Linked DNA regions of Sus scrofa. The protein of the gene in region 2 purifies or fractionates together with the protein of the main gene of each other region. This does not show direct contact. Links are inferred from orthologs where the notes say so. Each region holds a gene or a part of one and is shown on either strand. Other genes may lie near its edges.

Region 1 (4,542 bases), on a different chromosome or scaffold from region 2:
GATTCCAGCACCTTCTCCTTCAAGATGCCACTCAGGTACCTCATCGTCAAGGCCCTCCAAGCCCCTGCCTAAGTTAAACTTCCGCCAACCATCCAGGCACCCCCCCGCCCCCGCCCTTTATTCCAGATTCTCAGGCACCAAGGCTGGGTGAGAGCAGGTGTCCGGGACAGCGGGACAGCGCCTCTCCCCCTCACTCCCTGTGGTCAGCAGGTACTGCGGTTAACCTCGTCATGCAGATACGGAAACGGAGGTTCAAAGAGATTAGGCCGAGGGCTCCCTCCTCACCATCTTCCATTTTTTGCTGTTCCCTCTGCCTGGAACATTCTTCCCCGGGTACCATCCCCGTGCCTCCCACCTTCACACTCTTCAGGTCTCAGCTCAAATCACCCCTAAGAGAGCCCTTCCCTGAGCACCCCACCCTCACTCTCCTGGCCTTATCCCCATCCCAGGAAGCACATGTTTCTTCCTTTATGTTTTCTGTCCCTTTCTCCCAGTGAGATGGAGGCCTGGTCCAATTATCCTCAGCTGGATCATCCTTGGGGGGCAGGGGTCTGAGCCTGACTCTCCCTCCCCACCCTGCTACCCACACCACAGCCCAGCATCAGGACAGGTCTAGAATGTAAGTGTGCAGTTAACAGGGGGCCAGGAGCAGACACTAAGCTCCTACTAGGGGCCAAGCACTATACCACGCACTTCAAACTCACTGACTCCTCACCAAACTTCTTTGAAGTAGGTACTATTATTGGGACTGAGTGTCAGCCAAGGGAAGTCACACATAAATAACAGTTGGAGCCAAGGTTTAAGCACAGAGAGCCTAGCTCTACAGTCTGTGCTCATCTCCAAGGGTCTAATTCTCAGGGGGCCTGAAAAGTGGGTGGTGGAGACTGGGTGAAGAACGTCGGGCCAAAGCCCACAGTGGGGCAGGGGGCTCACCTGAATCTCTTCCAGGAAGAGGTTGGTCTCCACAAAGCGGTTGTTCATGAAGCCTCCAGGCGCCCGGCAGTTCTGCAGGAAGCGGGCTGGGTTGGGACGAACCTTGGGGTTGGCTCCGACCAGCTCACAGTAATGGGGCACCAGTGATTTGGGGATCTGTGGGAGAAGCAGCAAGGTCAGGGCAGGGGCCACCTGGCTGGCGGACAGGGGCTGGGGTGGGGTCAGATATTCACCTTTCCAGGGTTTCGCAGGGCGGCTGCACGAGGTAGGGGCCCATTGAAGACTTCCCAGATGAGGCAGCCCAGGCGCCACATGTCGGCTGACCTGAGGCAGTGACCAGAGCTGCTCAAGGCCCAGCCACCTGCCAGCATAAAACTCCAACCTATGCTGAGCACCAGGCACTCACTGCATGGCAGACCCTGTGCTCTGTTCCTCAGCTCATCCTCCCATCAGCCCCGAGAAGTAGGTTTCATCAGCCCCATTTGACAGATAAGGAAACTGAGGCTCAGAGAAGCAAAGACACCCACCCCGGGTGACACAATTTTCAAATTCAGAACCACCTAACCCCAAAGTCTGTGTTTATCCTGCCCTACTTCCCTGAGGATCCTCGGAGCAAGGAGTGGGCCCACCCTGAGGACCCTGGTCCCCTCCCAGCTGGGCAGCAAGGGACAAGGGAGTGACATATAATCTAGGGGGCCCGAAGCTGCAGGGGCTTCCAGAACAGGGCAGGTTGGGGCATGCCGCCCCCAGTCACCCACCACTTCTCTCTGACTGCTTTGCCACTGCCATCGGCCAACTCTGGGGGATCGTACTGCTCAAGTTCGGGGACCCCCTTGCGGGGAGGACCCCCACCATTGCCCTGCGCCGAATACATGTAGTCCAGGCCCCCAAGCTTCCACTCCCCAGCGCGGTCCACGAACACAGCGGCCATGCAGACATTATTGTGGATGAGGCTGCAGTCGTTGACCAGGAAGCTGAGGGCTTTCTGGGGACAGAAGGAGCCATCACAGCCCTGTACCTGCAGCCCCCCCATCCCTGCAATCATCACCACTACCCCCCCACCTCACCACAATTTGGTGTAGCCCCCAGGAGAGCTCCATCTCCCTCAGATCACCAGTCTCTGTTCGAGCCTTGAGGTACGCTGCCAGCGGGGTCACAGCCTCCGTCACCACGTGGAGGCATTTTTCTGTCTGAAGAAGGACGTGGAGTATCAGCGCAGAGTGGAGAAGAAGCAGGGGGATGAGAGACGTGATGGGGACCGGGTGGAGAAGGGGAAGTCAAATCTGGGGGTTACTGGGGCAGGGGGCTGGGAAGGGGCAGGAAGGCAGGAGCAGGAGACTGGGAGAAAGTGAGGGGCAGAGACAGAGCAGACTGAGCGGCCGGTAGGTACCTCCAGCCCATCGATGTAGGCCAGGATGTTGGGGTGCCGGAGAGTTTTGAGGCGCTTGAAGGCGGCTTTGGCCACCTGGGTTTGCTCTTCGGCGCCGGGCTTCACATCATAGACGAAGATGGACACCGGGCTGCCTGTGGCCTGGGGCAGAACAGAGGGGCCTCAGGGGTGTGGGCCGAGCCCCAAGCTGACCACTCCATCTCCGAGATGGTCCCCGGAGCTAAGTACCGGAAAGGAAGACCCGCCGGCCGGGTCTCCCCCCAGGACAGCCCTTGGGGACTGAGTCGGGCCCACGTAACCCCGGTTGGGTGCGCCTGTTGGTCCCTCGGTCCTTCCGCCCGCCACGTCGGCACTACCCGTCCCCCTCCCCCGGCCCGTTGCCCTAGAGGCTCCGCAGCCACGTCAGGCGGGGCGCGACGCGGCGGGGCCGGCGGCGCTGACTAGGCGAGACCGAGGTCGGCCGAGGCCTGCGGAGCGGGGCCGCGCTCACCTTCTTGCGGCCGCGGTGCAGGGCCCAGGGTCCGGGCGGGCTGCCCTCGGGAGGTTCCGGGCTGAGCTCAAACGGGAAATCCCGGACCGGGTCCCGAGCAAAGAACCACATCGTCCCCGCCGCCGCCGCCGCCGCCGCCGCCGCCGCGGCCTCGGGCGCTTCAGCTCCGGGTCCTCCCGCTGCCCGAGCCGGGGCGGGGCGGGGCGGGGGCGGGACGGGGGCGGGGTCGGCCGTGGCGAGGGCGGGTCTGTGTGGGCGGGGCCTCGTGGGGGCGGGGCTGGTGGGCGGGGCGGGGCTGGTGGGCGGGGCGGGGATCCGAGGGCGGCAGGTACTGGGGAGACCAACCCTCCTTCACCCCCTGCCCTGGCGGATCACCCAAACTCTCAGGGCCTCTGTGTCTTTATATCTAAAATGTGGAAAGCCTGAGAAGGGACAGAGGATAGGGAAACGGAGACAAGGAGGCGGGGAGATGGGGAGACGCCAGAGGAAATCGTCAGAGAGACAGACATGAAGGGGTGCAGGGTTCAGTGAGGAGTGAGGAAGAGACTTAGAGAAGATGACTCTCCCCAAACCAGACGCTCTCCCACACCAGCCAGTGGGCACCTCCAGGATGCGGTGAGGATCAAGTTGGTGGAATGACTGAGTGACCAGGGAAGAGGCACAAGGAAGCAAAGCCGGTGAGAAGGAGCGTGGGTGAGAGGCAGAGAGGGAAGCAAAGGTCCTGAGGAGGTCTAGGAACCCTGAGACAGGGAGAGGGGACCTGGGGAGGGGAAAGGCAGTGACCCCAGGAAAGAAGGGTAGGAGGAACAGCCCAGCAAGTTCAGAAGAAGCCAGGAGGCCAGGAGGGGCCCCTGCTCTCCTGGGCTCAGTAGAACTGGCTCTGTGTCTCCAGGGTCAGCACCTCCAGACCCCAGCACCTGTGCAGATAGGGGCTGTCAGTGGCAGAATGGTGTCAACAGCTCAAATGCCATTCATGCTGGAGGAGACCCAGCTCCTTAGCTGGACAGAGCCCAGCATCCAGGAGGGGCTGGGCTGGCAATGGTTTCTCCAAAAGTAAGGTCACGTTCATTACAACACTATTTACAATAGCCAAAACATGGAAACAAGCTAAATGTCCATCGACAGAGGAGTGGATCAAGAAGATGTGGTACATATACACAATGGAATATTACTCAGCCATTAAAAAGAACGAAATACCAGCATTTTTTGCAACATGAATGGACCTAGAAACTATCATTCTAAGTGAAGTCAGCCAGACAATGAGACACCAACATCAAATGCTTTCACTCACATGTGGAATCTGAAAAAAGGACAGACTGAACTTCTTTGCAGAACAGATGCTGACTCACAGACATTGAAAAACTTATCGTCTTCGGAGGAGACAGTTTAGGGGGTGAGGGGATGTGCTTGGGCTGTGGGATGGAAATCCTGTGAAATCAAATTGTTATGATCATTATACAACTACAGATGTAATAAATTCATTTGAGTAATTAAAATAAAATAAAAAGATTTTAAAAAATAAAACAAAACACAAAGGAAATTAAAACTTGTTCATCACTATGTGTCAAACACTGTATCAGGCAGTTCTGCACACAGTAACCCACTTGGAAGTTACTTGGCCTCTCTGTGCCTTATTTCCTTGTCTGTACAAACAAACCTCCTGGTGCTAGAATTTCATCAGTACTGTTTTTTTAAAAAAAGAAAGAGACTGAGGTTCTATATGCAAGAT
Region 2 (3,807 bases):
ATGTCTGAAGGCAGAAACGGGGGTCCAGCAGGTGTAAGAGGAAACATTACACGGTGTATACTATAAAAATAGTACTACCAAAAAACAGTGCTACGATGGTGGTGTTTCCTATATAACCGAGGAAAACTTCATAGCCCTTCAGCTTAGAATAGTCTACGGCTTAGAAATCAATTTTTCCTAGGTTATATAAATACCAAACAGGCTTGGTGTTTCAACCCAAAGTTTCTCATATTACTCTTCACTACCTATCCTCTCAGCCACGGGGCGCTGTGCTTCAGGTATAAAGGAGAAACGTATCCCATCCGCCCTTCATAAACACACCAACTCGGAAGCGTGAAACAAGTGTTTTCTCTCAGAAGCTCTTAGAAGGAAAACCTTGATTCCTACAAGATTTTTGGTTTCAACAGTGATCTTTAAAACAACAACCCTATTGAGAAGATCTCTTCGTAGAGAGAAAAAGAAATATTAAAATGAAATTTCTCGATTTTTTTTTTAGGGCTGCACCTGCAACATATGGAGGTTTCCACGCTAGGGGTCTAATTGAAGCTGGGGCCGCTGGCCCATGCCAGAGCCACAGCAACGCGGGATCCAAGCCTCGTCTGTGACCCACACCACAGCTCACGGCAACGCCAGACCCTTAACCCACTGGGGGAGACCAGGGATCGAACCCACGTCCTCATGGATACTAGCTTGTTACCGCTGAGCCCCCACGGCAAGTCCCATATTGTTTCTTTGCCCACGGCAGACACAATCACGGAGGACGGAGAAAGAGGCATGAGAAGGGGTAAAGCTCCAGGGCTGTCTTCATGCTCTTGCCATTTACCTCCCCCAATAAACTAGCACATTTCAACTGTGTTCTCACAAACAACTGCATTCTCATTGTACCATCCCATCATCTCAAACTCTGCCTCTCCAAATACAGCAACAAGCACACATAATTATCCAGCCAGAGAATTTCTAAGATGTGTTCAGTAGGTGAAAGGAAGGAACTTCCAGAACAAATCGCCTTCTAGAATATAAGCAGGCTGAAGGACAACACTAGGAAAGAAGCATCTCTTGTCTCCCAGATACCGACCTGAAGGGACAAGGGGTTGCTTCCGTCTTGAGCTTTAGTCCAACACGCAACTAGTTTCTCCACGTTCCCGGCACAGATATAGCAGAGACACGCCTGCGTCTGCAGGAGGCTATCACCTTCGCTCTCCAGCCTGGTTCCCAACAGATCTACGGATCAAAAGGAAAACGAATAAGATGGCGCACACGGCAGTCTGTGTATGAGATCAGGAGAAGATCAACGATGGTTTCAGAATAACGGATCAAACCTCCTAACCAGCGAGGAGCAGGCAGAAACAGAGTCCCTGTCACATAAACCTTCCGCGCATACTTACCTGTGAAATGAGTACAAGTGCTTTGGTAAAAGCCGGGGAAGAAATAAAATACGGCACATTTGGAATAACCAGCAATGAGAGCTAGGACTACTCTAGATTATTGACGACGATGACGTTACCATCTTCGTGATTTTTCTGTTTCCATAATACTTTCAAGGAAGCAAATGGTTGTTCGCTTTTATACCAGCAGCCTGAAGCCTCTATTCTTGGGGTTAATGAATATCATCCCTTAGTTATCAGTTTAGTTAGGGCCTTTAATGGTAATTTCTTCTGAAATGCTGTAATTATTAATCTTATGAAGCTAACATGTATGAAGTGAGAGCTGATGATATGCTATTTTACATATGAATAGTCTCAGGCTTAGAAATTAATTTTTTCTAGGTTATACAGCTAGTACATGGCGGAAGCAGGAGTCTCAGTCTGGTCTGTCTGAAATTAAAATCCTTAAATAATACTATTAAAAATAATGACTAGTAGGTAGAGAAGCAATGGTGTTAAAAATTCAGAGAAAAGCATTCAAATGAGAACTTCATTTTCTTATCTGTGATTAGTGAGTTTACAAATATTTTTAAAAAAAAACTATCTGTAATTTTATTTCCAATATACTTGGTCAGATATGTAATATAAATATAAAACTCATTTTCTTACCACAAAGGGCTGAAAATTCATCTGGTTTAGCATAAGTCAATACTGCAGCTAAAGCTTCTCTCCAATTTTTAAGGTCACAAGACTCGACAATCTCTTTCCAGTCCTTCATGACTACTGCAGTAATTAGCTTGGGAAAGGAAAACGAAGGGAGAATCAGAAGTCTTTGCGTAACTTACAAAAATCAACTCTGGCTCATCAAGCGAAACTTTCAAAACTACTATTCACAGTATTTTGAGAAGAATAAAGGAGCAGCAAAGTGAAGTATATCCCTGAACCGACATAAAAGACAGTATTATTTTTTTCTCAAAAAAAAATTTATGCTAACATATTTTATATGAGACAGGAGTTCCTGTCATGGTGCAGTGGAGATGAATCCGACTAGGAACCAGGAGGGTGCAGGCTCGATCCCTGGCCTGGATCAGTGGGTTAAGGATCCCGTGTTGTCGTGAGCCACAGACATGGCTCAGATCTGGCATTGCTGTGGCTGTGGTGTAGGCCGGCAGCTACAGCTCCAATTAGACCCCTAGCCTGGGAACCTCCACATGCCATGGGTGCGGCCCTAAAAAGACAAAAATAAAACAAAATAAAAACTGAGACAGAAAAGTATGGGGTGTTACCAAAACATTTAACAGGAAGACATGACTTGGTCTGATGGATTAGGAAAAATTTTCTGAGCACACAAATATTTGAGATATGAAGTCAGAATTACTTTCAGCAAGAAGAAAAAACACTCCTGGCCAAGGGAGCACCAGGGGCAAAGTCCCGAGAGAGAAAGGCATGGCGAGTGCGGGAGAGGAACAGAAAGGCAGCCCGCACATAACACGGGAGTCTGTGACCTGGGCCGCGGCTGCGGAGCCTGCGAGCAGCCAACGCTGGTGGGACGGATGCCGGGACGAGGCTGCCGCAAAGGCATGCAGTCATCAAGCAGGGGCTTAGAAATGCACAGACCCTCCGCACCAGAAATCCCGTTCCTAACACGACAGCCTCATTAAACAGTTAGAAATGTGCACAAATTTTTAGGTGCAATAAGGATGTTTACCACTGTCTCAACTGCATTAGGAAAACGTTAGAAATTATCTAAACATCTTAAAATAAGAAAAATAATATATTCCTACTGTAGATGATTATAGAGCAATTAAATATTTTTGTAAGACTTTAATGATATGGGAAAATGATTACAACATAAGTGACAGTATCTATAAGCAAAACCACATACTTGTATATAATCCTAATTCTGTTTTTAAAACGTCTACAAATACATAGGAAGAGGTATTAAAGAATAGGTACTAATCTGATGGAAGATTTAGGAGGTATTAAAAACTTTAACATTTTCTATGTTTCACCCTTCCTATGGTAAAAATCTGAAAAGTCAGGGTTCTCGTGCTGTGCGGCAGGCTAAGGCTCCAGCACTGTCACTGCAGCAGCTTGGGTTACTACTACAGCACAGGCTCCATCCCTGGCCTAGGAACATCTACATGCCGTGGGTGTGGCCCCCCCCCCAAAAAAAAAGTATTTTTCACTTAGAAAATTATATATGTAAACAACAAAAACTGGGATAATCATGCCAAGCTATCAACAATAACTATTTATAGGCCACTGAATTATGGTGGGTTTTTTTTGTTCTTTAATGCTTTCTGCATTTCAATCATCTATAGCAAGAGCGTATTGCTTCTATAACATGTTACTGTTTATTTATTTTTAAAATAACGTACCCTGGTAATTTTGCTTTGGGATTTTGCAAAGTACTTTTTCTGGGTTCGAGCCAGGAGTTCTT

What was found.
Region 1: the proteins of SEC31A (region 2) and SCYL1 purify together in Homo sapiens (affinity purification with mass spectrometry; 3 studies listed by BioGRID and IntAct, counting the BioPlex papers as one, with this or other methods). This does not show direct contact. The link is inferred for Sus scrofa from reciprocal best matches to the Homo sapiens genes SEC31A and SCYL1.

Annotation. Positions count from the first base shown.
Region 1 is NC_010444.4:6,730,459-6,735,000, forward strand, and holds the start of SCYL1 (N-terminal kinase-like protein), read right to left. Parts: upstream 3,020-4,542; 5' UTR 2,925-3,019; coding exon 2,814-2,924; intron 2,465-2,813; coding exon 2,324-2,464; intron 2,124-2,323; coding exon 2,001-2,123; intron 1,919-2,000; coding exon 1,692-1,918; intron 1,258-1,691; coding exon 1,167-1,257; intron 1,090-1,166; coding exon 934-1,089; intron 1-933. UniProt on the Homo sapiens protein: Regulates COPI-mediated retrograde protein traffic at the interface between the Golgi apparatus and the endoplasmic reticulum. Involved in the maintenance of the Golgi apparatus morphology.
Region 2 is NC_010450.4:135,466,272-135,470,078, reverse strand, and holds part of SEC31A (protein transport protein Sec31A), read right to left. Parts: coding exon 3,746-3,807; intron 2,161-3,745; coding exon 2,034-2,160; intron 1,222-2,033; coding exon 1,076-1,221; intron 1-1,075. UniProt on the Homo sapiens protein: Component of the coat protein complex II (COPII) which promotes the formation of transport vesicles from the endoplasmic reticulum (ER).